Macaca fascicularis: one gene and its partners. The main gene of each other region encodes a partner of the protein of the gene in region 2 in a complex. Links are inferred from orthologs where the notes say so. Each region holds a gene or a part of one and is shown on either strand. Other genes may lie near its edges. The genes, in order: CWC15, SNRPD2, ARMC7, PRPF3, PRPF4, GEMIN5 and SNIP1.

Region 1 (4,379 bases), on a different chromosome or scaffold from region 2:
AAAGCCAAAGGCATAACAAGTATTTCAGAAAAACATGGTAAATCAATTATTAGAGATGAAAGGAGAAAACAAAACATACATCTGTTAGAGGGTCATCTGCATCAAGGTTGGCAGCAGGAATCTGGTCTAACCGTGGCTTTTTTGACACTGAAGAGGAGGTTGTATGTTCTGAGGGGAAACAAAAATCACTTAACTTAGTAAAACAAATACTGCATCTCTTAAAATGTTTTAGGGACCTGTGGGCACGAGGAGCCCACACTGAAAGCATTATCCACAGTGAAATCACATCCACAGTGCCTGGGCAAATAAGCCTTTGGTAAATATTTGTTATTGTTATCTCTAATGACTTAAGAAAGTATTACAGCTCACATCAATCTGTAAAAGCAAACAAATGGTTAATATTTTCCAGTTGCTACATAAAAGAAAAACTATCAACAACATAATTTTAGAGATAAATGTCTTGGATAGTGTTGGTACCTCGGGTTGGACGATCTCTGTTTTTCTCTCTTGCAGCAGCTCTCTCTCTTTCTTCCAACTCTCTCCTGAAGTCACGGTTACGAACCTCTTCAGGGGCATCCTGAGTAGTTTGTCTAAAGTAGAAACAAACCAGGGCAAAAATGTTACTTAAACACACACACACATACACACACACACGACTGTGGTAATGGAAGACAATTCAGGAATGAGACTTTGTCCTTCAAGCATAAAAAAGGGAAGTAGATAAGATCATAATCTAATCTGAAAGTTACTAACAGCCACTCTTGTGATGTTCCCAATATTTCAAGAAGTCCAAATTCAATCACGTATTTTCCTATAATAAGGCTTTACGTGATTAAAATGTCTTTAATTTTTATTGGTATTATCAACTCAGAACTTAACAGTAATACTTTTAATATATTGACTGGTGCTGATAGTGCATAATCTCTCTGAGGCATTATTATTTCTGTTATTTATTGTTGTATCTACATACGAAAATTTCTGGTTAGTAGGAATTTTGCATTTTAAAACCACAGGGCAGAATTTTAGTGTTAAACATCCTATTGCATTCTAATCCTATGATAATAGATAAGTGACATAACTCGAACATACTACTATATCATGACCATGCCATTTAACAGATTTGGTCTTGTTTTGTGAACAAGAAAAAAAAGAGGCTGGGCGCGGTGGCTCAAGCCTGTAATCCCAGCACTTTGGGAGGCCGAGATGGGCAGATCACAAGGTCAGGAGATCGAGACCATCCTGGCTAACACGGTGAAACCCCGTCTCTACTAAAAAATACAAAAACCTAGCCGGGGGAGGTGGCGGGCGTCTGTAGTCCCAGCTACTCGGGAGGCTGAGGCAGGAGAATGGCGTGAACCCGGGAGGTGGAGCTTGCAGTGGGCTGAGATCCGGCCACTGCACTCCAGTCTGGGCGACAAAGCGAGACTCTGTCTCAACAAAAAAAAAAAAGAAAGAAAAAAAAGAAAGTCTTACTACCTGTATTTTATCTTTGTGTGAGAGGGTAGGTCTCTGCTTGAATACTGCTTTGAAAGTTGGCTCAAATCACCTTCTCCTTTTCCCCTTCCACCTCTTGCAGGTTCAAAGGTTGGCCTGGCTGCTGTTGTCATCTTTTATGCTTTGAAGAAAAATATAATCAAGTTATTTACAACAATACAAACACTCATTTTACAGAGTATTAATATCCATACTAGTGAAATAAATTCTAAAACTCATTCCCCTAAACCTGCTTAATCTTCTTAAACAAAAGTTTTCAGGAAAACAAATTATGAGGCTTAGGCCGTACAACGAATAGGGCTTCTCCGGCTTGTCTTAGTACAAAAAATTCTGTCATGAAGATCTGAGTTTGCATCCCTATTCTCCTTCTGACTATATGGGCTTGAGCAAGTCACCTGGCTTAACTTTCTGTCATCCGTGGAATGGAGATATTCCTCATAGGATTACTATAAGAATTATGACACTTGACATGTCAAAAGCCTTGAAAAATACAGTACTACCATGACTAAGTTTTAAAAATTTCCAACTCAACCTTACTCTACCAGACTCTCTAAGGTTTGCATTTTATCTAAACTTCACACAATAGCAAATAGGCTAGTAGAAACAAAAGCTAAAAACAAACAAAAAATATCACTGACAAAGTTACTAAGTGTCTGAGAAAAAAGTTACTAAGGAAAGTGTGTTAAACTTCAATGACAGGTACATAGAAAAAAATTCTTAACCTTTTGTTGAGCCAATTTTCTCCTACAACAGGCATCATATTATAAATCAGATCGTTTGTGGGTTATAACTTAAGGACTGTTCAAAAAAAACAAAAACAAAAACAAAACAGGAACCTCAGCCCCAGAGGATTCTGATGACAAAAATCAGGGACCCATTCCTTAAGTTACTTTCTGCTTGGAGCAGTCACAAGAATACTGCCTAGCAGATGCAGTCATTAAAACCCTGTTAGTGTCGGAAAAGCAAGTGTGTGGGGAGGGTGGGCGAACTGGGAGGATTTTTTTTTGTGGGGGGGAGTGCTTTCTCCTAATTTTCAAAAAGAGTAAGAGACATGTATACAAAGAAGAAACGGGGTTATCTGGAGCTGGGAGTCCGCCCCTTCCCACACACTAACGGAATTATTACTCCGGCCTCTCGTGAGCTAGTCTTTGGCTATAACCAGAAACTCGTTGCCCCTTAACCCGTGCCCAGCGCCGCAGGGGTGCGAGGGGTAGTGAAAGGAGGACCTGGGGTTCGCTTTACGCGGTAGGCGCGCTGCCTTTTATGCTGCGATCTCCTCTGCGGGCCCGAGAGCTCCGGACGCGCCTGACAGGCACTCCGTTTCGCCCCTAGCCCGCTGCTCTAGGTCCTCCACCGCCCGCACTCTGCACTCTGCCGCCGACTCCGACCCCAACTGCCCTTTCCCGTCCCACCGGGATGAGGAAGATAACCTATCCTCCTGCCGCTCACACTGGCCGAGGTCCGATGCAGCAATCTCCGAAGATCATACAGACGCCATTACGACTCCGAGCTCCCAGAAACCTCTGCGCCCAGGGCTAGCGCCTACGACCCGGAAGCAAAATCCAAGCGCTTCGGAGGCGGAAGCAACGACCAATCCGCAGTGGCCGAAGTGGAAGTCGGCGTAACGGCACTAGGGGGCGGGGCCGAAACGGCCCAGGGGGCGGGCGTTTGAAATCAGTGCCTTAGAGTAGACCCTAAACATCATTTTATACCTTCAAGAACCAATTACTTAATGTCTCTTCCGTCTTTTCCGTCCCCGACCCCCTCCCAGACTCCTTCATTCCGGTACTGCGTGGACGGAAAGCCCCGGGTAGCCGACACCACGTCCCCGGCTAGCGGGAGAGAGCGTGGAAAAGGATTACACCAAACTGTTTAAATCCAACGACTCCTGCTTCCATCCTTTCTCCTGAGCTAGAACCAACAAACCTAGAGAGTTGGGCTTCGGAAAAACTAGTGTTTTCATTTAATTGGATATGAAGAAAGAACAAATATGTACGGGGCAACCACGATCTTTACAAAGGTACATTCCTGCAAAAATATTAACACTTCAAAGCAAAGGTTGTATTCGTAATGTTTGCTAAAATTTTTTATTTAAAAAACGTTAGTTTTAGTGGGAGGGGAGATGTCAATATTTACGACAGCGTTTAGAACGGTGGGCCCAACTGCCAGGAGCACAAGATGTAATTACTAAGATGGCTACTTAAGTGTTAAGTTTTAATAAGAACGAAAAGGAGAAAACCCAAAAACCAAAAACCCACCAATCCTGTCTCCTCCCTTCCATAAAAAAAAATCCTGAGAACAGAGATCTTGATTGTTTAGCTAATCTTAGTATCTCATCACATAGACCTTGACATATAGTAGCTGCTCAATTAATATTTGTTAAACAAATGAAAATTCAACTTCCCCAACTTAGTTTAAAATATAAAGAACTCACAAAGTTGAATATTTAAATGCTTTCTTACCTCTAAATTCTTTGCAACTTTTAAATGAAGAAAGAAAAGCAGAAAAAGCCCTTTCACTCATAGAGTTCAAGATGAAAATCTTGATTTTTCTTACTAAAGGTATCCCTCCTCCAGTCTTACACGTCTCACTAAAGGACACGATCATCATACTAGTTACTCAAACCAAAATCCCAGAGTGCCTACTTAAATTCCTTTTCTTTCACTTTTCACATACGGTTCATTTACAGGTCTTACCAATTCTACTTTTAAAACTTACCCGAAATTTTATTCTACTGCCATTACCCTTGTCCTGGCCAACACCATCTCCTACCTGGATTGTAATTGTTTCCTATTGTATCTTCCTGCGTCATCTTTTATCCTACAGTCAATGCTGCATATAGCCAAGAGAGTGATCTTTTAAAATTAATCAAATGGTGTTACTAT
Region 2 (4,495 bases):
TGGGATCTTGAACAGGATGCTTATTTCCCATTCCCTGGAGGGCTAGGGGGTCAGGGACTGGAGGTGGGTCCCTTTACCTTTCTGACTTGGAGATTTCCCGGGCTGCCTGGGGTTCGCACAACCAGCAGGGGGCGCAGATAAGTGCCCCAGAGACGCTGTGGGTCCAGTTGTCCCACCACCCTCCGCAGCCGGGCTTCGGGAAGGCTTCCGATCAACGGGACCTTGGGAAGGAGGTGGGATAGGGAAGGGAAGAATGAGAGCAACCCACCATTTCATCCCTACCCCGGGCGCCGTCACCCACAAGCAGCCCCGGGTCCTCTTTCTAATTTGCGGCCTCCAGCATCGGAGACTTCTAGGATAAATCCAAGGCTCAGAAAAAGTCCTTCCAAGACCATCCGGTCCAGCCTACCTCAAACTTGATGGGGAAATCGAGGCCCAGTGAGAGAGAGGGGAGATGGAGGAAGGGACTCTTCCAAATAGTTGACTAAAGGCGTAGAACCCTGAACCCCCTCGTCTTACTATTTCAGACCTTTCCTCATAAAAGGAAGCTACTGTTGTAAAACCAGCCCGAAGCCTTATTCCTTTGGTAAGGGTCATGCGCTCAGATGACGAAGACTGTGGCATCTGCGGTTAGGGCCGTACGCTAAAGCCAAGTCAACCCTGGGTAACAGCGGGGAGGGAATGAGGGTCCCCGCGGTGCCCGGGTCCCCGCCCAGCCTCACCCGCAGCTCCCGGCCCAGCGGCAGCTCCTCAGTCCTGCGGTGCCAGCCGCTCCAAATGGTGTAGAACGCCGAGCCCACGGCCAGCGCCAGCAACAGGGGCAAGAGCCGAACCCGCGGTAGCAGGCGGCGCTTCGGGGGCAAGAGTGGCTCCATAACGCCACGTTCCCCTAGCCGCAGGCGGGGCCGCCCGCGGCCCCCGGAACGCATGGCAGCTATGCCCTGAAACCTGTACCAGACCACGATTGAGTTTAGGCCCAGCCAAGTTCCACCCCATGGAATCAGTGGGCCAATAAGCAACAGCAGCGGCTGCACCTGCCCACCCCACAGCGAGCAGCGAAACCAATAAGAGCTACGGTCCTGAGGACACGCCTCCCGGCCTCCCTTGGGTATTGGGGTTGGTTCTTCTGAGAATGGCACGACCCAAAAGGGAGCGCAAAAGAGATAGGCTCCGCCTTAGCGGAGGGGGAAAGCCAATGAGCAGCGTTTGATCGTGGAAAATATTCAATCTCTCGGGCGCAGGTCCATGCCCCTCCCGGATGTAGGCAGGGGATTGGTGGCGCAGGGTCGGAAAGATCAGTAGATACGTCAATAACCCGTCCCAGAGGGAAGAGGGGCGGTGCCTGTCTCCGAAGCGAGGAGCGGATTGGCTTCAGCGGAGGCCGCGCCCCCGAAGTCACGGCCGGCGGGCATTTGGAAATAGTTTGTCATTTCCCTCCTTAAACCTGTACCATTCTTAAACGAAACGGTTTGAATCAGACCGCCTTTCCTTTTGTCTTCATTGTCATAAACATCTGCCCCGTGTGGTTCTGACTGGCCTCGAACCCCTATCCGAGGCTTTTATTCTTTCATTGTGCACCGTTGGTGGGCAATGCTATGGCAACAGGCCACGCCTCCACTTACTGGTTGGCTTTGCGCAGGCGCCAACGGAAGTGGGTCGCAGGAAGAGGAAGTCCCGCCTCTCTCGCCTCAGGCTGCAGCAACGCGGAGGAAACGGGAGTGAACGGAGAGCTTAGTGACCATCATGTGAGGCCGGGCTAGGCTTAGGCGGCGGGAAGGAGGTTGAGGGTGGAAATTTTGACCGATTGAGGGTGGGAAGGGTTGAGCAGAGAGCGGGGTGGGGGACAGGGGCAGATGTTTTAGGGATGGAGCGTCCTGCGTTTCTCCTGATGAGTTTGAGAACGGGCGTGGGGCCTTTGACGCATCGTGACTTCGGGAGAGGGGACAGCTTTATCAGATAACGCGCTGGGCTGGGCGCGGGGACTCATGCCTGTGATCCCAGCATTTTAGTAGGCCAAGGCGGGAGCATCGCTAGAACACAGGAGTTTCGAGACTACTCTAGGCAACATAGCGAGACCCCCGTCTCTACAAAAAAAATTTTTTTTAATTATGAAAAACATATTTTAAACGATAACGGAGGGGGGTCCTAGATAATTAGTCCTATTGAAGTGAATGTTAAGGGGCAGCGATTTTACGAATACTGGGGGAGGCCGGGCGCGGTGGCTCAGGTTTGTAAATCCCAGCACTTTGGGAGGCCGAGGCGGGCAGATCACCTGAGGTCAGGAGTTTGAGACCAGCCTGGCCATTGTGGTGAAACCCCGTGTCTACCAAAAATACAAAAATTAGCCAGACGTAGTGTCGGGCCCCTGTAATTCCAGCTACTTGGAAGGCTGAGGCCGGAGAATCGCTTGAACCCGGTAGACGGAGGTTGCAGTGAGCCGAGATTGCACCACTGCACACTTCCAGCCTGAGCGAAGAGTAAGACTCCATCTCAAAACGAAACAAAAGAAATCAAAACGAATACTGGGGAAGGGAAGTTAGGACTTTTAGAAATAATGATTTGAAATAAGGGACTTCTCCTGATCATTTGAGCTGGAGACAGATGCGTTTTCGACCTAATTCACAACTTAAAGGGATAACGAGTGATTGGCATGATTTTGCTCATTTATTAGTGCACCAAATATTACATTGAATGTTTATGTATCAGACACTGCTTAAGCCACATAGGATACATCAGTGAATGAAACCTTTTGTTCCCAAGGAAAAAAAAAATCTTTTTTTTTTTTTTTTTTTCCCGAGACATAGCCTTGCTCTGTTGCTCAGGCTGGAGTGCAATGGTGCGATCTCAGCTCACTGCAACCTCTGCCTCCCGAGTTGAAGCAATTCTCCTGCCTCAGCCTCCCGAGTTGCTAGGATTACAGGCACCAACCACCATGCCCAGCTGACTTTTATATTTTTAGTAGAGACCAGATTTCGCCATGTTGGCCAACCTGGTCTCAAACTCCTGACCTCGAATGATCCACCTGCCTCGACCTTCCAAAGTGCTGGCATTACAGGCGTGAGCCACCGTGCCTGGCCGGGCGTGAGCCACCATGCCTGGCCGGGGTTTTACTTTCTACACTGAGATGGCGGGGGGGCATGGGAGGATTTTCTTTTGTTTGTTTGAGATGGAATCTCGCTCTGTCACCCAGATTGGAGTGTAGTAGCACGATCTCTGTCTCCTGGGTTCAAGTGATCTTCTTGCCTCAGCCTCCCAAGTAGCTAGGATTACAAGCATGCGCCACCATGCCCAGCTACTTTTTTTTTTGGGGTGGGGGATGGAGTCTTACTCTGTAACCCAAGCTGGAGTGCAGTGGTGTAATCTTGGCTCACTGCAACCTTCGCTGCTGGGGCTCCAGCGATTCTCCTGCGTCATCCTCCTAAGTAGCTGGGACTAGAGGCATGCGCCATCACACCTCGTTAATTTTTTTGTATTTTTAGTAGAGACAGGGTTTCACCATGTTGCCCTGGGTGGTCTGGAACTCCTGAGCTCAGGCGATCCACCCCCCTTGGCCTCCCAAAGTGCTGGGATTACAGGCGTGAGCCATCACACGCAGCCTAATTTTTGTATTTTCTAATTTGTATTTATTTATTTTTTGAGACAGAGTCTCGCTCTGTCGCCCAGGCTGGAGTGCAGTGGCATGATCTCGCTTCACTGCACTCTCCGACTCCTGAGCTCAAGCGATTCTTCTGCCAGAACCTACCAAGTAGCTGAGATTACAGGCGTGCACCACCACGCCTGGCTAATTTTTTGTTGTTGTTTTTGTTTTGTTTGTATTTTTAGTAGAGATGGGTTTTCACCGTGTTGGCCAGGCTGGTCTCGAACTCCTGATGTCAAGTGATCCACCCGCCTTGTGAATCATCACCAGCTGGATGCCTAACAGACATTTTCTTTTCTTTTCTTTTCTTTTTTTTTTTTTTTTTTTTTGAGACGGAGTCTTGCTCTGTTGCCAGGGTGGAGTGCAGTGGCGCGATCTCAGCTCACCGCAACCTCTGCACCACAAAAGTGCTAGGATTACAGGCATGAGCTACCGTACCCAGCCCCTGGGAGGGCTTTGAAGAGTGACATGTTATGATTTAGGTTTTAGCACAGCCCCCTCAGACCACTCTGTGGAGAACAGACTGTCAGGGAACATGGGTGGAGGCAGAGAGACCGGAAAGATTCCAGGTCAGAGATGACAGAGGCTGAGGCCATGGTAAGAAATGGCCACTTCCTACAGATTTATTGTAGGATGCAAGGGAAAAAGAGGAATCAAGTTGACAAAGAGTTTTTGCCCAGAGAACTAGAAGGCAGATGGGGAACACTGTGGATAGGGTAGGCTTCGGTGGTTGGGTGATCTGGACCCCGACCTGAGACATGCAGAGTTGAAAATGTCTGGCTGAGCGCGGTGGCTCACACCTGTAATCTCAGCACTTCGGGAGGTCGAGGCGGGTGGATCACGAGGTCAGGAAATCAA
Region 3 (4,336 bases), on a different chromosome or scaffold from region 2:
CAAGAATCAGTGTTATGAAATGAGGGTCTGTTTAGGGTTACAAGCGATTTATCTCTTGGGGCCAGGAGTTCAAGACCAGTCTGGGCAAGACGGTGAGACCGTGTGTCGACAACAAATTAAAAAAAAAAAAAAAAAAAAAAAAAGCCGAGTTCGAGACCAGTCTGGGCAACACAGTGAGATCCTCTCGAAAACAAATTAAAAACAAAAAAAAGCCGGGCATGGTGGTGTCCACCTGTAGTCACAGCTACTCGGGAGGCTAAGGCAGGAAGACTGCTAGAGCCCAGAAGTTTAAATTTATGGTGAACTATGATCACACCACTGTACTCCAGCCTAAGTGACACAGTGAGACCCTATCTCAAAAAAAAGAAAAAGATTTAAGATAATTTATGTAGTGACTTCCTTCCAATGGGTATAATACATAATACGTAAAGAGGGGAAAGAAAGAGTAATTTTACAGTGGAGAAGCCTGACAAGACTTCAGCCAGGTGATCACACGCGTGTTGCCCAGGCTGGAGTGCGGTGGCTATTTACAGGTGCAATCATGCAATCGTAGCACACTACAGCCTCAAACTCCTGGGCTCAAGCGATCCTCCTATCTGGGGCTACAGATGAGCACTGTGCATGGCTTGAAACAGGGATTTTTGTTTGTTCTCAAAATTTTGTCTGCTTCAAACTATTTCCCACGGCCTAGATCTAAGCTCCGGCAAGCTCTGGTGCCGCTTAACTCTCTATCCTCTTTTTGTGCCATTCTCCACTTCACTATAACGATCCTGCCACATTCATCTTCCTTCTGGCTCCTTCCTGTTTTAAGGCCTTTGCCCATGCTGTGTCCCTGCTAAAATGCCTTTCTCATGATGGCCAAAACGGAAGTAACCACCACCTTCTACTGCTGTTTCTCATCACCCCATTTATTTGCTGCTGAGCATCATCTTTTTTGTTTGCTAACCACCTGTCCCCCCTACTAGAATGTAAGCTCCTGAGGGACAAACACTTTCCCTAACCTGTTCACCATACTCCAGCATTTAGAGCAGTAGTTTACATATACGGTACATGCCCAGTAAATATCTGCCCAGTGAATAAATCAATAGGTCTTAAGATCATAACTACAAAAGAAGCCGTAAGTTACAGACTGCAAGCCATCTCTGCTTCTCCTGATATGAAAACACTAAATATGAGTTACTTTTGTTTCTAAGACAGATTCTCATTCTGTCACCCAGGCTGGAGTACAGTGGCCCAATCCCAGCTCACTGCAGCCTCGTCCTCCCAGGCTCAAGCAATCCTCCCACCTCAGCCTCCTGAGTAGCTGGGACACCACGCCAGACTAATTTTTTTTTTTTTTTTTTTTAGCAGAGATGGGCTTTTGCCAGGCCGGTCTTGAACTCCAGGACTCAAGTGATCTGCCTGCTTCGGCCGCCCAAAGTGCTGACATTACAGGTGTGAGCCACCTCACCCACCTGAAATTGTTGTTGTTTTTTTTTTTGAGACGGAGTCTCGCTGTTGCCCAGGCTGGGGTGCAGTGGCGCCACCTCGGCTCACAGCAACCTCTGCCTACCGGGTTCAAGTGATTCTCCTGCCTCAGCCTCCCGAGTAGCTGGGATTACAGGCGCCCGCCACGCCCGGCTAATTTTTGTATTTTTAGTTAGAGACGGGGTTTCATCATGTTGGCCAGACTGGTCTCGAACTCCTGATCTCAGGTGATCCGCCTGCCTCGGGCTCCCAAAGTGCTGGGATTACAGGCGTGTGCCACCGCGCCTGGCTACAAAACTGCTCTTTTTAAAACATCTTTTTTTGAGACATGGTCTCACTCCGTCGCCCAGGCTGGAGTGCAGTGGCGCAGTCTCAGCTCACTTTGGCCTCTGCCTCCCGGACTCAAGCAATCCTCCTGCTTCGGCCTCCAGAGTAGCTGGGCCTACAGGTGCACACCACTGTGTGCGGCTAATTTTTGCTCCCGCTTAGCTGGGATTACAGGCACTCGCCACCATGCCCAGCTAATTTTTGTACTTTTAGTAGAGACGAGGTTTTGCCATGTTGGCCAGGCTGGTCTCGAACTCCTGACCTCAGGTGATCCCCCCGCCTCGGCTTCCCAAAGTGCTGGGATTACATGTGTGAGCCACCACGCCAGGCCCCAAGGACTCACTTGTAACTCACTTATCTCACCCCGGCCCATTTAGCCATCTAGCGAACGGGCCCAGCCCTTACCAATAGCAAACTCAACCAGGGTCTCGTTCTCCTCCGACAGCGAATCGAGAAATAAATCCAGGACCTGCAGCTGCCGTAGATACTCGTAGTTGCTGGGGTCATAAGCGAAGTTGGCGAGGTTGGCGAGGACTTGCTCCTTGGCGTCTGCAACGGGAAAGCGGCACTGGAGCCAGGTCCGGGCGGCGGTCACAGCCGACCCTGTCACCTGGTCCCACCGTGGCTCTCACCTTGGCTCTGGGTCTCCTGGAATTCCGTGACCAGCGCCTGCAGGTATCCCAAACGCCCGACGTGGGGGTCCAACTTCGGCTTCTGGGCCATGGCCGGCGTGACGGAGGACCCCCAGGGACGGGCGGGCGGGTGGCAAAGGTGCAGGGGGAAAGCCGAGCGAGACCCTCACCCACTCTCCACCTGTCTGGCGAGGGAAGACGCGGGGACGGCAAATGGGTTTCTTTCTTGGGTTCAGACTCTGCAGTAATTTGCAGCTGGAAATGGAATGTGGGGAGATGGGCCGGGGTCTCAGAATCCTGTAGGAGTTGGGTCTGAAAATCGAAATTGGGGCGCGGGAGACAGGGAACCGTCTGCGGGTTGGGGCTGGCGGAGTGGGTACTGGCGCCCAGCCCCCGGCTGCCGGGCTCGGTTCCAGGCTCCCGGCGGAAGCCGCGCTGTCCCCACCCTACAAGGCGCGGAAGGGGCGGGACGAGGCAGGCGAGGGGCGGGGCCGTCGCCGAACTCCTTGGCGCGCGTGCGCGGCGCGCTTTCGGTTTTCTGGCTGCGGAAGCTCTTTAGCCTGCGCTGGAACCCGCTGCGACACGCTTCGCCGAGGGAGGTATGGGCGTGGGTGGGTGTACTGCGAGGAGCAGCCTTGTCTCCCATATCCTATGTCCAGCTGCAAATTATTGCAAAATCTGAACGCAAGAAAGAAACCCACTTGCCGCCCCCGCCAACAGGAAGGCGGGTGAGGGCCTCTCTCGGCTTTCCCGCCCCACCTTTCCCACTCTCCCGCCCGGCCCCCCGGGTCCTCCGCCGCCCCGACGTGGCCCAGAAGCCGAAAGTGAGGCACCCATGTCGGGCGGCTGGAATGACGTGAGGAGCAACTCAGGAGCGCAACGGAGTCTGGCAGCACCCATGTTGGGAGGACGTCGAGGCAGAAGCACCTCCAGGATCCCCATGGCTGGCGGGGCGCGGCCCAGCCTCCTTGACCAGGACGCCCCTTTAGAGCGCGGGCGTCAGCTCCTTACCCACCCCCATCAGTCTTTTGACCCTTTTGCAAAAAGCGTAGCGACCCCGACCCGTCCTCTATCCCAGCCCCGAGGTGAGTCCGCCACCTCTGGACAGAAATCAAAGGGGACGGGGTCATGTCCTGGTGCTTTTTGTCAGCCGGGTGGATGGCGCGCGCCCGGGGCAGCACCGGGGAGCCCGAGGAAGAGCCTTGTTTGTGGCGCTTTCGGGGCTTTCTGGATGCTGAAGCCCTTCGGCCGATTCCTTCTCGAGGATTCTCGGGAAGCAGGTGTGTGATGGATTACTACTCGTGGTTACAGGGAACAAAGCACCAGGGAAGGAGGTGGCCTTACTACACTCCCATCGCGTTTGACAACGTAGGGGTAGAGAGGTGGCTTAGGCTGTGAGTGTCCTGAGAATGCAAAAGTTGTTAATCTAATTGGAGTCACTTGTGTTAAAAAAAAAACAGAACAAAAAAACCCGGACAGAGTCGGAGAAAACCATGACAAGAGGGTTCTCATGCATAAATATCTGATAATGAAAACTATCACAAAGATTCTGCAAAAACCCCAACCTTGCACAAAACATACTTTTGAATGGCCATCTGCCCAGCAACTTTCCTGTCCAACGTTGAACTGGTCACCCTTGTTACTAATTCTTCTACCTAAGGATAATTATCTCAAAACAATTATGTAATCCTATTTTTTCCCTTAAAGCCTTTCTTTCTTTACCTCCCTGAATACCCATATAGTTTACTATGGCATGGATACTACCTTTGCAATGCCCTATGCCCAAATAGATACTATTTTCTTTGAGAGAGCCTCTCCTATTAAGGTTGACAAAGGCAAGGACCATATCTTAAGTCCTGGGCCTGGGTGAAGGCAGAGTGGCCTACATGCTCCAGCCAGCTGCAGCCCCA
Region 4 (4,433 bases), on a different chromosome or scaffold from region 2:
TTGATCAATGAAATCTGTGGAATAAATAAACTCTGTGAATAAGCTACGTCTGAGAGATTAATTCTAGCTTCTTTCTTGATCCTGTCATATCAACAAGGACTTGCAAACCTAGCAACACTAGAACAAAACTAAAAAAGCCCATCCAGAGGCCAGCTTCTCCATTCTTCCTACTTCCAGGCAGGCATTCCCTAATCCAACCCTGACTTATGTAGGATTCCCTTCTTTTAAGATATGCAAGTAAAACAGGTTTATCCAGGTCAGTCATCCTGGATATTAAATTAAATTTCATGATCCTTAAGAATGTTCTCTCACATTTTTCTGTGGTCATATTCATCCCAGTGGGAATTCTGCATACAGATAATTATCATGTTCAATCTACAGGGTCTCCATCAGCTGACTTGATGATCCTTCAGCTCAGAAAAGAATACGCTCATTTTTCTTTTGAGACAGAGTCTCACTCTGTCGCCAAGGCTGGAGTGCAGTGGCGTAACCTTGGTTCACTGCAACCTCCATCTCCTGAGTTCAAGCAATTCTCCTGCCTCAGCCTCCCAAGTAGCTGGGACTACAGGCATGCACCACCACGCCTGGCCAATTTTGCAGTTTTAGTAAAGACACGGTTTCACCGTATCAGCCAGGTAACTCCTTACCTAAAGTGATCTGCGCACCTTGGCCTCCCAAAGTGCTGGGATTACAGGCATGACCCACTGCACCCGTCTCTACTAAAAATACAAAAATTAGACGGGCGAGGTGGTGGGCACCTGTAATCCCAGCTACTCATGAGGCAGAGGCAGAAAAATCGCTTGAACCTAGGAGGCGGAGGTTGCGGTGAGCCAAAATCACGCCACTGCATTCCAGCCTGGGCGACAGAGTTAAACTGTATCGCCAAAAAAAAAAAAAAGAAAGCCAGGTGCAGTGGCTCACGCCTGTAATCCCAGCACTTTGGGAGGCTGAGGCGGGTGGATTACCTGACGTCAGGAGTTCGAGACCAGCCTGGCCAACATGGTGAAACCCCATCTCTATTAAAAACACAAGTATTAGCTGGGCGTGGTGACCTGCACCTGTAATCCCAGTTACTCCGGAGGCTGAGACAGGAGAATCCCTTGAACCTGGAAGGCGGAGGTTGCAGTGAGCCAAGATCGCGCCACTGCACTCCAGCCTGGGCGACAGAGCAAGACTCCGCCTCGGGGGAAAAAAAAGTGCCTAAATGAGAGTCAATAAATTGCACTGACCTCAATTTCTAAGCTCAGCTATTCCCAGCAGTGCCACTTATCAGAGATCTGGGAATCAGTTTTTCAAGATGTTTTAAGACATCTTTTCTCCAAAAAAATCCAGTCTGATTAACTTCTACATTCTTGGTAGGTTTAGCTTCTATACTAGAGTCTACAAGACTTGCTGCTGGCCAGGCATGGTGGCTCACGCCTGTAATCCCAGCACTTCGGGAGGCCGAGGTGGGCGGATCACAAGGTCAGGAGATCGAGACCATCCTGGCTAACACGGTGAAACCATGTCTCTACTAAAAATACAAAAAATTAGCCAGGCGTGGTGGTAGGCGCCTGTAGTTCCAGCTACTCGGGAGGCTGAGGCAGGAGAATGGAGTGAACCTGGGAGGTGGAGCTTGCAGTGAGCCAAGATCACGCCACTGTACTCCAGCCTGGGCGACAGAGCCAAACTCCGTCTCCAAAAAAAAAAAAAAAAAAAAGACTTGCTGCCAAATAGTAGACTCACTTTTGGTATATCCAAAGGAAGCTAGCAGACTGAAGTGATGAAACTAAGACTGAAAGATTTTCTGCCTCAGTGACAAGTTACGTGAGTAATTCTATGGTGACTCTATTACCCCATAATGAGTAGACATACAGCCTACCAATTTCTACATATTACACACGTATTGCACAAAAGCAGCATATCCAGACGACTTAGAAAGTGAAAACAAGAGTTCACACAGAACAGTTAGGACACTGAGTTCCACCATTTACAGGCCCTTAGGCAAGTTAACTAATTATTTGGAGCCACAGTTTACTCATCTTACAAAATGAGGACTGCCATATTTACATCTTAATTCATTCAATAAATATTTATTAACTACCAAGTGTCAAGCAAAGTACTAAGTGCAGTGGATACACAAAACAGTGAGCAAAACTAACAAGAGTCCTCACCTTAACGGGTCTCATATTCCACTAGAATTGAATGATAGGCTACAAAGTATAAGCAATTTGAAAGCCCAAAGCAATAAATGAGGTGCCACTGTTACTTCCATAAGATGATGTGCAAACTAAACAGCCATGGACAGAAAAGTTTCAAACGGTAATTAGCTTTGTCACTAATCAAATGCTCAACAATAACTGTGAGGTGCAGGGGGAATGGGGGTGCGGAAGGAGAGCGAGGTACAATGATCTCTCAATGAGCAGGCAGCAGAATCCAAATCCAGTCTTCTGAAGGAATTCCTTACTCCGTGCTCTTGTTTGCTAGAACCTGAGTTTCCCTCTGCAGCCCCAAATCTTCTGTTTTTACTCTCCGTCACTCCAACCAGTCTCTTACTCTACCTTGTTCTACCCAAACTCCTCACCTCAGAGCTGGTCTCCCCACCCGGTCTGCTTCCCGCCCCCGCCCTTTTCCTCTCAACAATCTCATTCCAATCTCTTCTTCCACCAAACCAGGTACTCCTTTCACACTCCTTCCCGCTGAACCCTCCCGCTTCGATCCTCCCCTTGGACTAAGCCCCCGGCCACAGTCGCGCGGACTGGAGTTACCCTCTCTGGGCCCGGGGCCACTACTCACCTCACAAACTTCAGCCCCTGAGACGGAGCCCGAACGTTACACCGGAACCGGAAACCTTCTGACCGCCCTACGGCCTGCCGTCGCTACCGCCACGGCCGCCGCCACGCCGCTGTCTCCCAACACGTGACCAAGGAGGGCTGGGCCGGCAATTCGCGCAGCCGTATTTGCCACTTTCTTGGAGGCTGAACGCATGCGTCGTAGAACCGAAAAGTTTCCCTGAGCAAGTTTCTTGCTTTCTATTTCCCGGGCTAAACCTATTAACTAGATTTCTGCCAAGTTAATGTTTTTAACTTCCTGAAGCGGAAATTGGGCTACTTGCAGTTTTCTTCATATGGAGAATAAGTGCGCAAAGGTAAACTTCGGATAGAATGAAGAGCGAGGCTTCTGCGTTTGTGTTCAAACACAGTCTTTCTGGTGGAAAGTAAACCCTTTCACAGTCGTGATCACTAGAATTAGCCACCCATCCTTAACCTTTCTCCCTAATTTAACAGTGGTGTCAGGCCGGGCGCCGTGGCTCACGCCTGTAATCCCAGCACTTTGGGCTCAATAAATGACAAGTGAGACCTACCAGTATTGCTTTCTCCATTCTATCAATAGGTCTATATATTTCCTTTTCTCCAAAATGAGGCTCTAACCTACTGACCCTTCCTTTTTTTATTTTTATTTTTTTATTTTTTGAGACGGAGCCTCACTCTGTCGTCAGGCTGGAGTGCACTGGCGCTATCCCGGCTCACTGAAACTTCCGCCTCCCAAGTAGGTGGGACTACAGGCGCGCACCACCACGCCCAGCTAGCTTTTGTATTTTTAGTAGAGACGAGGTTTCACCATGTTGGCCAGGATGGTCTCGATTTTTTGACCTCGTGATCCGCCCACCTCGGCCTCCCAAAGTGCTGGGATTTCAGGCTTGAACCAGCACGCCTGGCCCCTACTGACCCTTTAAATCATAACAACGTGTGTGGGCAAAGATAGTTTGGAAAAAGGATGTCCAGTATTATGACACAATTTCTTTATGTGAGAAATGGAAAAAATTCCATTATTTTTATATTATAAACTATCCAAACTAAAATTCCAAAATGTCTTCTTGGTGGTAGGCTCACTAGAAGATGCAGTTGCTCTTCAGGGAGGTTATTCAAATTCCCCAGATAGTAGGAGATTTTTGTATCTAAAGATACAATGTACATACCAAGCCCCACCATCCCTGATGGGGCAGCATGACCTAAAAGGATAAAGCCTGGCTCTGAAGGAACCAGTTGGGGGAGCTTCAACTTGCTGCTCAACTTATTCACAAATCAGTTTCTCCACTTACAGCTTCTAACACCAATGTCTCACAAAATATTCACTCAAAAAAGTTTGTTGAATGGGTTAATGAGTTTCAACGTTGCAGGGTTGTTGTAAATTTATTTTGTTTTAGTGCTTCTAACAGTCTGAGTTCAATTCCCTATGGAGAAATGTGTTTCTAGAAACTGATTTTAGGCCAGGTGTGGTGGCTTACGCCTGTAATCCCAACACTTTGGGAGGTCGAGGCAGGTGGATCACTTGAGGTGAGACCAGTCTGCCCAATATGGTGAAAATCTATCTCTCCTAAAAAAATGCAAAAATTAGCTGGGAGTGGCAGTGGGCACCTGTAATCCCAGCTACTCAGGAGGCCTAGGCAAGAG
Region 5 (4,198 bases), on a different chromosome or scaffold from region 2:
GTATATAGAGATACAAATTATTACATGTATCTAGGATGAAACTAGGGACTGTGAAGTATACAAAGGAAGAAATATTTCCTTCTCCCATGAAGCTTAGGATATTACAGGCGATATTATCAACACAAAACACTGGCACATTACATTTCAAATTGCTTTGTACTAAATCAGGCATTATCTTCTACCAGATTCCAATGCAGACAAATGGTAGAGAAAGCCAAAGTTCCAAAGAGGGAAAGAGAGGGATAGGGATACCTAAAAGGAAAAAAAAGGTCTACTATACATTTTACCTTTTCTGCAAACTGCGAAAAACTGGCCACTACGGAGCAGTATAGAGTAGCAGTTAAAAGTGCTGGCTGTAGAGGTTAAAGGGCACAGGTTCTAATCCCACTGCGCCACTGATCTTGAACAATTAGTTTCATTTCTAACTAGGCCTTAGTTTCCTCATCTGTATCCTACTTTGCTGTTGTAGGAAGTGAATAACGTAATGCAGAGTAAGCTCTTGGAACATTACTTGGCATTTAATAAATGTTCAATAAATAACACCTATTATGGCTGTAATTTTTCTAGGGGGTTGGATGAGGATCTGGCCAGCTACGGAAACGTCAATATTTTGAGGATCTCCCACCGTCCACGTGGGGATAAAAACCTTATGCTGTTCGTCTCTAATACCCCAGCATCCAGCAGGGCAGAGAGACGTACAGTTCCCTGACACCCTCCTAACCATCATCTTACTCTCAATCTGATACAAAGACCAGGCTGAAGACAAATGAACAAAATCAGGCCGAAGCTCCTCCGCCGGGTCTTTATTTGACTTTGGCACCAGCGGGCTCTTCTAGCTTAATCTCTCGCTGCAGCCCAAATCCACCGCCGAGCCATCAAGCTCATAGGTGGCCCCTGGGAAGACTTCCGGACCATGGAAGAGAACAGTCCTCGTCCCCTAGCTCCAGGCCTGTACCTCGGATCCCAGGGTTTCTATGGTAACACGGTCCTCGGCTCCCAGAAGACGTAAACGCCCCCGTAGGCCCGGGGAGGCACAGCGGGCCCCGGAAGCCCTCGACTCGCTCCAGAGTTCAGCCCCGAGCCGCGCGAGTCGACTTACCTACCTCTTTTCAAGTCGGCTCAGCCCCTTCCCGGAACCTCGGCTCCCCTCCACGAAACTACTGCTACGCCAACTGGACTACACTTCCCAGACGGCTTGGAGCCTCTCTCTCAGCAGAACCTCGTCTTCCGCGAGCTTTTCTTGGAGGTTCTAGGAGGGATGCCCCTCAATGCCACGACGCCATTTCCTACTACGACTTCCATCATGCTCCGCGCCGCTCCGGGCGCAGCGACGGCTCTTGGCCCATGTCCTGTTTGCGACACACTTCCGGTCAGTGACGCACTTCCGCTCTGCTGGGCGCGCGGTGGAAGGTCTGAAACGGAGAGCTTGGATTTCGCTGGGGCCTCGCGGCTCCAGAGCCCAGCATGGCTTCCTCGCGAACCTCCTCCACGGTACAGAGCCCGGGATCGCAACTCACTCTGGCAGGGAGCGCGAAGGGGGAAGAGGATCTCTGCGGGAAGGGGCCGTTAGGGAGCGAGAGAAGGCGGTGGAGGGCTGAGGAGGAAGGCTGCGGGACTCAGTGGTGTTCTACACAGCGGACCACCGTTTTCCTGACCCCTAAGCGCTTTCGTGGACTGTAGCTTATTTGCACCTCTCCCACTACAGCCCCAAAGGGCAAACATCTCTTCCGACTCATCCAGTAACGGTGCTCTGAAATAGGGAAGTGTCTTGGCCAAGGTTTATGCGTTTGGCAGATCTCAAAATTTTAATGAGACCTACTAACTTCTACCTCACGTCTAGAAACGTTTGAAATGTATACACTCGTAATGTTGTAACTTGTTATCCTTTAGCACCGCGTTGGTTATTTCATCTATCCTTAGTATTTCCCCAGTGATGAGCAGTAATCTTGGATACATCGTAAAACACGAGATTCCACGTTTCCAGCAGAATAAAGTAAACAGATTCCAGAGCAAACCTTTCATATGAAAATACTCGAGAGAACCTCACTAGTTTTATCAATCCCGTCAGCTAAAGTGAGGGACTGAAACACCCTCCCCTTCACCTCAAATCGATGAAGAACATCTTAAGTAGTGTCCAATTTGTCCTTTCAATTATGAAGGAAATAGGACTGTGAAACTCAGGGCGAGCTTCATCCTCGGGAAATCCGGTAAATTGCCAAGATTAAACCTCAATTTAATCCAGATTTTTGATTTGGCAGGCAACCAAAACTAAAACACCCGATGACTTAGTTGCTCCGGTTGTGAAGAAACCACACATCTATTATGGAAGTTTGGAAGAGAAGGAGAGGGAGCGTCTGGCCAAAGGAGAGTCTGGGATTTTGGGGAAAGAAGGACTTAAAGCAGGGATCGAAGCTGGAAATATTAATATAACCTCTGGTAAGATGCAAATTGTGAACCCATCTTTACCTCTTTGTGTAATGAATACTTTCCTAAACTTGAATATCATCAGTTTTATAATGTCAAAAAATTTAAGTTCTTTTGTTTTAGACGGAGTCTCGCTCTGTCACCAGGCTGGAGTGCAGTGGCGCGATGTCTGCTCACTGCAACCCCCGCCTCCCGGGTTCAGGCAGTTCTCCTTCAGCCTCCGGAGTAGCCGGGATAACAGGCGCACACCAACAAGCCCAACTAATTTTTGTATTTTTAGTAGAGACGGGGTTTCATCATGTTGGTCAAACTCCTGACCTTGTGATCCCTCCCCCTCGTCCTCCCAAAGTGCTGGGATTACAAGCGTGAGCCACTGCGCCTGGCAGAATTTCAATTCTTAAACTTGCATCTATAAGGCTGTATTTTGCCTACCCCCTTAAAATCATGCAGAGAGCCTTTTTCTTACAATGTGTTACATAGTTTTGCTTCTATGAGTGAGCAGTCTTATCAAAAATTCAGTGTACATTTGGATTCAGATTGATTCCATTTGTCTTCTGGAGATCTAACATAGTTCTGGCATTGGTTTGCAGCTAGAGTGGTTCGTGATAATCTCCCTTTTGAAGTTTTCCAATTATTTTTTACCCAAAGGGAAATATCTTTTTTTTTTTTTTTTTTTTTTTTTTTGACACAGGGTCTCACTCTCTTGCCCAGGCTGGAATGCAGTGGCATAACCGTGGCTCACTGCAACCTCTGCCTTTTGTGTTCAAGTGATTCTCCTGCCTCAGCTTCACGATTAGCTGAGATTACAGGTGCCGGCTACCACACCCAGCTAATTGTTGTATTTTTAGTAGAGACGGGGTTTCACCATGTTGCGCAGGCTGGTCTCCAACTCCTGACCTCAAATGATCTGCCCACTTCGGCCTCCCAAAGTGCTGGGATTACGGGCGTGAGCCACTGCACCTGGCTGAGATATCTTGTTTTATTATAAAAGTAATAGTGGCCAAGCCTGGTGGCTGAAACCTGTAATCCCAGCACTTTGGGAGGCTGCGAAGTGGGAGTCCGGCTTGAGCCCAGGAATTCGAGACCAGCCTGGGCAAATAGTGATACCCCATCTCTACAAAAAGTAGAAAATTAGCCGGGCATGGTGACGCGTGCCTGTATTCCCAGCTAATTGGGGTTCTGAGGTGGGAGTTCAAGGCTGCAGTGAGTCATGATTGTACCACTGCACTCCAGCCTGGACAACAGAGAGAGACCCTGTCTCAAAAAAAAAAGGTAATAGTTATTTTTCTTTTAAAAGATCAAACAGTGTATGAATGTGTGAAGTAGAAAATCCAGTATTTTTTAATTAATTGATTGTATATCTTAGAATTTTAATACAGCTATAAAAATACGTCATTTTTTCCATAAGTGAAAACATGATACGTAAATTGTTGTATAACCCCCATTTTTCATTTTATATACCATTGAGGATATCTTTCCATGTCAGTAATGAGAGGTCCACTCTATTTTTAAAATAAAATTACGCATATTTGTCATAAGAAATTCAGACAATACCAGAGGGCATAAAATGAAGACTCCTCTGGCTGGGTGTGATGGCTCACGCCTGTAATCCCAGCACTTTGGGAGACTGAGGTGGGTGGATCACGACGTCAGGAGATGGAAACCATCCTGGCTAACATGGTGAAACCCCGTCTCTACTAAAAATACAAAAAAATTAGCCAGTTGTGGTGGCGGGCTCCTGTAGTCCCAGCTATTCGGGAGGCTGAGACAGGAG
Region 6 (3,736 bases), on a different chromosome or scaffold from region 2:
ACCTAACACAGGGGTGTCGAATCTTTTGGCTTCCTGGGGCCACAGTGGAAGCAGAATTGTCTTGGGCCACACATAAAATACACTAAAACTAGGCTGGGCATGTGGTTCATGCCTGTAATCCCAGCACTCTGGGAGGCTGAGGCAGGGGGATCATGAGGTCAGGAGATCGAGGCCATCCTGGCGAACACAGTGAAACCCTGTCTCTACTAAAAACACACACACAAAAAAGTTAGCCGGGCGCAGGTGGGCACGCCTGTAGTCCCAGCTACTTGGGAGGCTTAGGCAGGAGAATGGCGTGAACCCAGGAGGTGGAGCTTGCAGTGAGCTGAGATCGCGCCACTGCACTCCAGCCTGGGAGACAGAGCGAGACTCCGTCTCAAAAAAAAAAAAAAAAAAGAAAAGAAAAAAACCCCACTAACAACAGCTGATGAGCTTAAAACCATCCTGAGCCATGGGTTGGACAAGCTTGACCTAATATATCCTTCCCTGGGCAAAACTTCTTTATCATGTCTGCTTTAACAAAAAACCATTTTGATGGGTCTTCACATTCTCCCTACATGTGAGCTATTGATATATTCAGTGCTGATCTGTAGCAGTAACTCTGAAATTGGAGTCAGGGGTGGGGTATTATGACTTGACAGGTGCTTTGAAAAAGCCCTCTAATCCCACCCAAGTTGTAAACTGCTGCTCTACAATGCTGAGTGAAAATAAGCAGCTCTTACATCTCTATCCATTGATGTGGAAAGTAATAGCTGTTTGTCATCCTCTGTTTGTAAAGGACATAAATTAAACACAATTCTTGAATGATTTTGCCCTTCTGATGAGGCACTGAAGAGGGTGTATTTCCGTCTCCAAGATTGAGTGAGATCCCATTGCAACAGTTCACCTCTGTGAAGGAAAAACATAAGCATTAGTTCTTTTACAAACAATCTGAAAACAAGTGACTGTTGAGTCACAGAGTCTAGGCTCATAGCTGCAAAATGATTTGTCTTTTAAGGAGAGAAAAATTGCATATTCTGAAAATACGCACAAAATATCTCTGGGAAGGCTGGGTGCAGTAGCTCACATCTGTAATCTCAGCACTCTGTGAAGCTGAGGCAGGAGGATAGCTTGGAGCCCAGATCTCAAGAACAGCCTAGGCAACAAAGTGAGACTGCCTCTACAAACAATTAAAAAATTAGTTGGGCATGGTGGTGCACACCTATGGTCCCAGTTACTTGGGAGGCTGAGGTGGGAGAATTGCTTGAGCCCAGGAGGTTGAGGCTGCAGTGAGCTGTGTTTGCATCACTGCATTCAAGCCTGGGTAACAGAGCAAGACCCTGTTTAAAAAAAAAAAAAAATTTGAGCCACAGAAAGGGGAACCAAGTAGCCAGGGAAGACAGGACAGTTTATTATATAATTTCATTCTTCTTGAACCATGTGAGTATACTGGACTACCCTTTAAACAGATTTATCTCCAGTCACTAGAAGTAGGTAGTCAATGAACTCTGTTTACTGAATGGGCATAGCCATCCAACCTAAGAGAAAATATTATAACCATCTCCCCTTTCTACACATGAAGTGACTGAAGCTCAGAAAAGTAAAGGGTCTTGCTCATGAATACAAGGCAGTAAGTGACAAAGTGATTCTGAAATTTACTTCTGACTTCAGAGTCCATATTCCTAACTGCCAGACTATACTTATTTGATCTTTTTACAGCTCTGTTAGTAGACAGCACAAGCATCAGTCTCACAATTTTTCCATTTCAAATGGGGCCCATCATAATACAAGCCTTGGCCATTATTTTCTCCATCTACAAAGAGAAACCTAGGAGTCCTTGAGGCCAAATAGAAAAACAAAACATATCTAAGAAAGCATGACCATAAAAGACTTACCCAAAACAGCTAGATACCAGCTGTGTTGGCTGATTGCTGGGCCAATGGAGTGTCAACCAAAGGCGCTCTTTAACAGTTGGGTCTATACCCCCTCCTCTTCTCTTCAGAAAGGGCAATTTCAAAATCATCACCCCTGCAGATTAAAAGGAAGGCCAATGGGCACTCAAGACAGTGAAATTACATGCATGACATTGCTGGCAGTTCACAATACACAGTCTGAGCTGTAAAAGCTTGTTAGTTTGGTTACTTAGAATTCAGATCTCGTTTTCCAATGGTTACAATTATAACCATTATAATGGTTATATTTTTAACCACTATAAACAGTGGTTAATACTAGTCCAGCTACATTTAGGTCAAATAAGCTTCCATAAGCTATCTTGACAACCTCAACACATTAAGAGTATATTTTCTTTTTTTGGCCAGGCGCGGTGGCTCATGCCTGTAATCCCAGCACTTTGGGAGGCTGAGGCGAGCAGATCATGAAGTCAGGAGATCGAGTGGATGAGTGGGTATGCAAAATGTGGGACATACATACAATGGAATATTATTCAGCCTTAGAAAGGAAGGATATGCTGACGTACGGTACAACATCAACAAACCTCAGGGATATATGCTAAGTGAAATAAGCCAATCACAAAAAGACATATCATATGTCTAATTTCACTCAAAGAAAATACTCAAGAGTAGTCAAAATCATAGAGCAGAAAGCAGAATGATGGTTGCCAGGGCCCGGGGGAGGGGAGAATGGAGAGTAGAATTCTGGAGACAGGTGGTTGTGACAGTTGCACAACTTTAGGGTATACTTAATACCACTTAAATGTACACTTAAAAGTGATAAAAATGGCAAATATTGTATTTTCCACCACAGCTTAAAAAACTGCGAGAAAAAAAAAATAAAATGGAGAAGCCCGCTAGAAAGAGAAAAGCAAGATTTTTACTATAAAGGTTATATTCCCTAATATATTATAAATATTAATTATGCCTAGAGTTTCTCTTAATTTTTAAACTTAACGAGAAAAGTTCTGTTCAAAGAGAAATTTGGGAACGCTAAATGATTGAGGGGCTCTATAATTTGGATAAAATGAGCTTTTACACATAATTCCAGGCTGGGTGTATGTTATTCTGCATTTGTGCATTAAAAGCTCTAACTCTTGAGATCTTTTCCATTCTCCTGGCCTAGGCCATATCATGTTCTAATATTCCCATTTTTATTACAAATATTCTGCTCTCCATGCCAAATAGTGACCCTTTCTATAAACCAAGAGGTCCTTGTTTTCTTCTGGAATGCATGGGAAATACTCATTCTAAGGCCAGATGTTGAGAGAATAGACAGTTCTAGCCCAGGCTCAAATGAGGAAGCAGAATTCTAGACCGAAAAGTGAAGAACTGCTCTCAGATAGATGACACACCCACAGGACAATAAGACAGAACAAAAAACCCTCTACTTCCACCAGATCAACACAGGTTACATCACAAAAGAAAGATCAATCTTACCTCGGCCTCTAGAACAGTTCCAGATTCGAATGGTTTGATCTTTGCTTCCAGTGGCTAAGTAGCAGCCTTTTGTTACTGGAGCTTGTGCCACAGCATTCCCATTGGTAATTTCAGCTTCTTCTATGAGATAGGTAGCAATTTTGCTTTTAATTTGCATTAAACACACACTAATATAAAACAATTAGTTTGCAAGAGTTCCCAGAACTTAGCTATCTCTTTCATAGGTCTGAACTGTAAAATTTGAAGTTTTATGTATAATTAAAATGATATAATTCAGCCGGGCACAGTGGCTCACGCCTGTAATCCCAGCACTTTGGGAGGCTGAGGCAGGTGGATCACCTAAGGTCGGAAGTTCAAGACCAGTCTGA
Region 7 (4,468 bases), on a different chromosome or scaffold from region 2:
GGAAACTTCCCCTTTGCCCCCTGAGGAGTCGCTCAAAAATCAGTTCACAAAAGGCAGATTAATTGGAGAAAAAGCATACAAATGTATTTAAAGTGTATACACGGGGAGAATCACAGCGTGATTACCCACCCTGAAAGGGGTTCAGAAGCTTATATATCCTCCTGGTAAAACAGACTTATGAGGGTGGGAGAAGGAGGAATTCTGTTCAGGGATTACTAGGCAGAATGAATTAATAAGGGAACAGAGATACATTTGTAAATAGTTTTTTGTTGTTTTTTTGTTTTGGTTTGGTTTTTTTGAAGACAGGGTCTCACTCTGTAGCCCTGGCTGGAGTGCAGTGGTGCCATCACGGCTCACTGCAGCCTCCAACTCCTGGGCTCAAGTGATCCTCCTATCTCTGCTGGGACCACAGGCACGAGCCACCAGCCCCTGCAAAATTTAATTTTTGTAGAGACAGAGTCTTGCTATGTTGGGCAGGTTGGTCTGGAACTCCTGGCTTCAAGCGTTTTTCCTGCCTTGGCCTCCCAAAGGGCCGGAATTACAGGCTGCAGCCTCCGTGTTCGGCTGTAAATAGCTACTTTTGACAGCATAACGGTCTCTGGTCAGGTGTGATTACATTCTTGGGAGGAGAAGAAAGAAACAATTATTCCTTTTGGTAGTCTGTATCTTAGGCAGATAAAGACCTGCGCTTTGGGAGAGATGGTGGGCACCGGGAAGGAACATTGAGGCTTCTTCAGTTCGGCATGTCAGTGCGCCATATTTTGGGGTTTCGATTTCTGAGCCCCAACAGCATTGCAAAAAGTTCAGGAAATAGAAGAGGAAAAGCTAATGATTTGCCCACGGGTTATCATCTCTGATTGCATTTCCATGTCTTCCTCCCTTCTATTTCCAAATGTAAATGTAATTATGGTTTGCGCACAATTTTGTATCCTGCTTTGTCGTTAACAAGTCAGGGTTTTTAAAGTTTGTAAATGGTTTACTAATGGCCACATAACACCCATTAATTTGGCTAACTTCCCTACTGCTGGGTATTTACATTGTTTCCACGTTTTGTAATTACCAGTAATGTGGCAACAAACAGTCTTGAGAGGTTTGCTTTTTCCCAGTTTTTTGTTGTTATTGTTGTTTGTTTGTTTTTGAGACATCTCGCTCTGTCGCCCAGGCTGGAGTGCAGTGGTGCGATCTGCGCTCACTGCAACCTGCGCCTCCCGGGTTCAAGCGATTATCTTGCCTCATTCTCCCGAGTAGCTGGGATTACAGGCGCGCGCCACCACACCTGGCTAATTTTTGTATTTTTAGTAGAGACGAGGTTTTGCCATGTTGGCCAGGCTGTTCTCGAACTCTTGACTTCAGGTGATCCGCCAGCCTCGGCCTCCCAAAGTTCTGGGACTACAGGCGAGAGTCACCACGCCCAGCCAGAAGTTTGTTTTTGAAACTTGAAACTCCCGCCACCCAAGCCGGTCACTGTGGCTACTCCCACTAGGGAGTAGTCACGTGTTTAATATCTGCCGCGAGGATTTCTGGGAGGTTGGGCACCCCGGAAGCGGAAGTCCAGGAGTCAAACTCGTCATTTCCTTCAGCTAGAGGAGCTCAACGGATCTGTTTTCTTTCGCTCAGCCAAAATCACAGAATGAAGGCGGTGAAGAGCGAACGGGAGCGAGGGAGCCGGCGAAGACACCGGGACGGGGACATGGTGCTGCCGGCGGGGGTGGTGGTGAAGCAGGAGCGTCTCAGCCCAGAAGTCGCACCTCCCGCCCACCGCCGTCCGGACCACTCCGGCGGTAGCCCGTCTCCGCCGACCAGCGAGCCGGGCCGCCCGGGCCACCGCGGGAACCGAGCCCGAGGAGTTAGCCGGTAAGTGGGGGAGCAGCCCAGGATGGACGTTGGGTTGGGCTCATTCAGAAAGGCGGGCAGGGCTAGCATCCGAAACAGGTTTTGAATGCTGGGCGCAGCAGCCCGGACTTAATCCTGAGGGACTGTTGAGAGTGATCCAGTCGTGCTTGTGTTATGCTTGCTCTGTCACTTGCCTTATAGCTCGGTGTTCAACGCCTAATGACACACCGGCAGGATCCCACTCCTTCATTCTTGTGTCCCCAGCACTTCGAAGAGTGTAGCCCAACAGATAGCACTGATAATCTGTTAAATTGGAATGAGATTTTCCCCATCCCGCCCACAAATGGAGTGTGGGCCTTGTCTTTCCAGTTACCTGCCAGAAAGGTTTTCACATCGAGGTCTAGGCGAGCTACCTAACAGAAACTGGAAAAATAAAAATAAAAAAAGTTACTTCTTGCTAGACTCATTTATTTATGCATTCATTCACCATAGTTTTACTGAGTGCCTATTTTAAGTGTGAAAGACTGCCCTAGGTATTGGGGCTGCAAGGGCGATTCAGTTAGATGATCTTCACCAGTGCCAAATTGGCCGTGCTCTAACCCTGAGACAGATGATTAAAAAAAAAAAAAAGTTTCAATAACAAGTATTATTGATAGGTTATAACAGTAATGTGATAGAGATTGGAGAGAAGAGGGAGGAGGCCTCTTTAAAGAGGTGCCATTTGAGTCCAGACCTGAGTGATAGGAATGATTCAACCTCTTAAAGATCCAGGCAGAGGAAACAACATCTGCAAAGAACTTGAAGTAGAATGAATTATGATTGAAATGGGAAAAAGCCAGTGTCGGTGGAGTATAGTGGTCAAGAAGGTGGGTGGTAGGAATGAGATGGCATAGGGAGGAAGTAGAACCACAGGATGGAGGGATTGTTCCTGATGCTAGGGGTGTTGGTAGTGAGGGATAAAGAATCAAGGGTGACTTCCGGATGGTGATGCCAGTTAGCAAGATGGCAAGGAGTAGGAGAGGAAAGGTTTTTGAAGGGTTGGAAATTAAGAGTTTTGTTACCTAAGTGAGAAGGTTCAGTAGACAGTTGTCTATGTGAGTATGGAATGCAAGGGAGACGTTAGAGCTAGGAAAATGAACCTCGTGACTCCTTTAATGTGATTGGCAGATACCTTCACAAAAGCAGTGTTTGTGTTAGTAGGTAAGCCTGATACTGGAAGCTAATTTTTATGGGGGAAGGGAAATTGCGATAAAATCCTGTGTACCATGCTCTGTATAGGTCCCCACCCAAAAAGAAAAACAAGTCCTCAGGGAGAAGAAGCAAGTCTCCTCGGAGTAAGAGAAACCGAAGTCCTCACTACTCAACAGTCAAAGTGAAGCAGGTAAGTGGATTGGGGTGTTTTGATGTTGGGTCCAAATTGAGAGCCTTTTCCTATCACAGCTAAAGAGGGCTGTGTGTGTGTGTATTGTGTGTGTGCGCGTGTGTGCACGCACACTCGCCTACATCTCTACCTGTACCTCCAATGGGCTTTTCTGAAAACTGGGTGTATTTCTTTTTTCTGCTTGTTTGCTTAAATTAAACTTTTTATTTTGAGATTATTATTGGTTCACATATGGTTGTCAGAAATAATTCAGGGAGATATACTCTTCCTGGTTTCTCCCAGTGGTAGCATCTATTCATAATAGAACTGTGGTACAATATCATCATCAGAATATTGACATCGATATAGTCAAGATAACATTTCCTTCACCACAAGGAATACCTCATGTTGTCCTTTTGTAGCCACACACACTTATCTCCCACTTTTATCCTTCCTTAACTTCTGTCAACTTCTAATCTGTTCTTCATTTCTATAATTCTGTCATTTCAAGAATGTTATGTAAGTGGAATCATACAGTATGTAACCTTTAGGATTGTCTTTTCTCACTCAGCAGAATCCTTTGGAGATTGATTCAGGTTGCAGCTCTCAGTAGTTTGTTCTATTTCATTGCTGAGTGGTATCCATATGGCATGGATTTAGCCACTTACTCATTAAAGAACATCTGGGTTGTTTCCATTTTTTGGCTATTACACATAAAGCTGCTATATACACATTTGTGTACAGGTTTTTATGTGAACATAAGAGTTCATTTCTCTGGAGTGCAATTGCTGGATTGTACGGTAGTTGCAGGTTTAATTCTTTTAAGAAATTGCCAGACTGTTTTCCAGAGTGGCTGTATTAGTTTCCTAGGGCCACCATAATGAAATACCATAGAGTAGGTGGCTTAAACAACAGAAATTCATTTTCCTGTAGTTCTGGGGCTAAAAGTCAAAAATTAGGGTGTTAGCAGGTTTGGATTCTCCTGAAAAAAATCCTCTTTCCTTGGCTTGCAGATGGCTACCTCTTTGCTGTATCCTTAAATGATCTTTTTTCTGTCCTGGTGTCTTTTCTCAGCCATATTGGATTAGGGCCCTGCCCTCATTTTTTAACTTAATCAGCTCTTTAAAGACCTTATCTCCAAAAACAGTTATTAATACATTCTGAGGTACTTGGGTTTGGTACTTTAACTTGCTAATTTTGGAGAGTACAGTTTAGTCCGTAACAGTGGCTGTACCATTTTATATTCCCACCAGCAATGTATGAATGATCCAGTTT

Evidence for each region.
Region 1: SNRPD2 (region 2) and CWC15 share a complex: the UniProt entries of both Homo sapiens proteins name them as parts of the minor spliceosome. The link is inferred for Macaca fascicularis from reciprocal best matches to the Homo sapiens genes SNRPD2 and CWC15.
Region 3: SNRPD2 (region 2) and ARMC7 share a complex: the UniProt entries of both Homo sapiens proteins name them as parts of the minor spliceosome. The link is inferred for Macaca fascicularis from reciprocal best matches to the Homo sapiens genes SNRPD2 and ARMC7.
Region 4: SNRPD2 (region 2) and PRPF3 share a complex: the UniProt entries of both Homo sapiens proteins name them as parts of the U4/U6-U5 tri-snRNP complex. The link is inferred for Macaca fascicularis from reciprocal best matches to the Homo sapiens genes SNRPD2 and PRPF3.
Region 5: SNRPD2 (region 2) and PRPF4 share a complex: the UniProt entries of both Homo sapiens proteins name them as parts of the U4/U6-U5 tri-snRNP complex. The link is inferred for Macaca fascicularis from reciprocal best matches to the Homo sapiens genes SNRPD2 and PRPF4.
Region 6: SNRPD2 (region 2) and GEMIN5 share a complex: the UniProt entries of both Homo sapiens proteins name them as parts of the SMN-Sm complex. The link is inferred for Macaca fascicularis from reciprocal best matches to the Homo sapiens genes SNRPD2 and GEMIN5.
Region 7: SNRPD2 (region 2) and SNIP1 share a complex: the UniProt entries of both Homo sapiens proteins name them as parts of the minor spliceosome. The link is inferred for Macaca fascicularis from reciprocal best matches to the Homo sapiens genes SNRPD2 and SNIP1.

Annotation. Positions count from the first base shown.
Region 1 is NC_088388.1:93,956,580-93,960,958, forward strand, and holds the start of CWC15 (spliceosome-associated protein CWC15 homolog), read right to left. Parts: upstream 3,022-4,379; 5' UTR 2,721-3,021; intron 1,616-2,720; 5' UTR 1,608-1,615; coding exon 1,477-1,607; intron 591-1,476; coding exon 478-590; intron 169-477; coding exon 80-168; intron 1-79. UniProt on the Homo sapiens protein: Involved in pre-mRNA splicing as component of the spliceosome. Component of the PRP19-CDC5L complex that forms an integral part of the spliceosome and is required for activating pre-mRNA splicing.
Region 2 is NC_088393.1:53,756,361-53,760,855, reverse strand, and holds the start of SNRPD2 (small nuclear ribonucleoprotein Sm D2), read left to right. Parts: upstream 1-1,690; 5' UTR 1,691-1,743; coding exon 1,744-1,745; exon of another isoform or gene 1,746-2,477; intron 2,478-4,495. Other genes in the region: QPCTL (glutaminyl-peptide cyclotransferase-like protein), read right to left, coding at 78-221, 723-929. UniProt on the Homo sapiens protein: Plays a role in pre-mRNA splicing as a core component of the spliceosomal U1, U2, U4 and U5 small nuclear ribonucleoproteins (snRNPs), the building blocks of the spliceosome.
Region 3 is NC_088390.1:81,488,572-81,492,907, reverse strand, and holds the start of ARMC7 (armadillo repeat-containing protein 7), read right to left. Parts: upstream 2,811-4,336; 5' UTR 2,518-2,810; coding exon 2,427-2,517; intron 2,344-2,426; coding exon 2,200-2,343; intron 1-2,199. UniProt on the Homo sapiens protein: As a component of the minor spliceosome, involved in the splicing of U12-type introns in pre-mRNAs.
Region 4 is NC_088375.1:110,939,602-110,944,034, forward strand, and holds the start of PRPF3 (U4/U6 small nuclear ribonucleoprotein Prp3), read right to left. Parts: upstream 2,819-4,433; 5' UTR 2,154-2,818; intron 1-2,153. UniProt on the Homo sapiens protein: Plays a role in pre-mRNA splicing as component of the U4/U6-U5 tri-snRNP complex that is involved in spliceosome assembly, and as component of the precatalytic spliceosome (spliceosome B complex).
Region 5 is NC_088389.1:44,822,760-44,826,957, reverse strand, and holds the start of PRPF4 (U4/U6 small nuclear ribonucleoprotein Prp4), read left to right. Parts: upstream 1-1,378; 5' UTR 1,379-1,464; coding exon 1,465-1,491; intron 1,492-2,258; coding exon 2,259-2,436; intron 2,437-4,198. UniProt on the Homo sapiens protein: Plays a role in pre-mRNA splicing as component of the U4/U6-U5 tri-snRNP complex that is involved in spliceosome assembly, and as component of the precatalytic spliceosome (spliceosome B complex).
Region 6 is NC_088380.1:161,716,919-161,720,654, forward strand, and holds part of GEMIN5 (gem-associated protein 5), read right to left. Parts: intron 3,489-3,736; coding exon 3,369-3,488; intron 2,008-3,368; coding exon 1,875-2,007; intron 889-1,874; coding exon 723-888; intron 1-722. UniProt on the Homo sapiens protein: The SMN complex catalyzes the assembly of small nuclear ribonucleoproteins (snRNPs), the building blocks of the spliceosome, and thereby plays an important role in the splicing of cellular pre-mRNAs.
Region 7 is NC_088375.1:197,372,206-197,376,673, forward strand, and holds the start of SNIP1 (smad nuclear-interacting protein 1), read left to right. Parts: upstream 1-1,566; 5' UTR 1,567-1,630; coding exon 1,631-1,854; intron 1,855-3,111; coding exon 3,112-3,214; intron 3,215-4,468. UniProt on the Homo sapiens protein: Required for pre-mRNA splicing as component of the spliceosome. As a component of the minor spliceosome, involved in the splicing of U12-type introns in pre-mRNAs. Down-regulates NF-kappa-B signaling by competing with RELA for CREBBP/EP300 binding.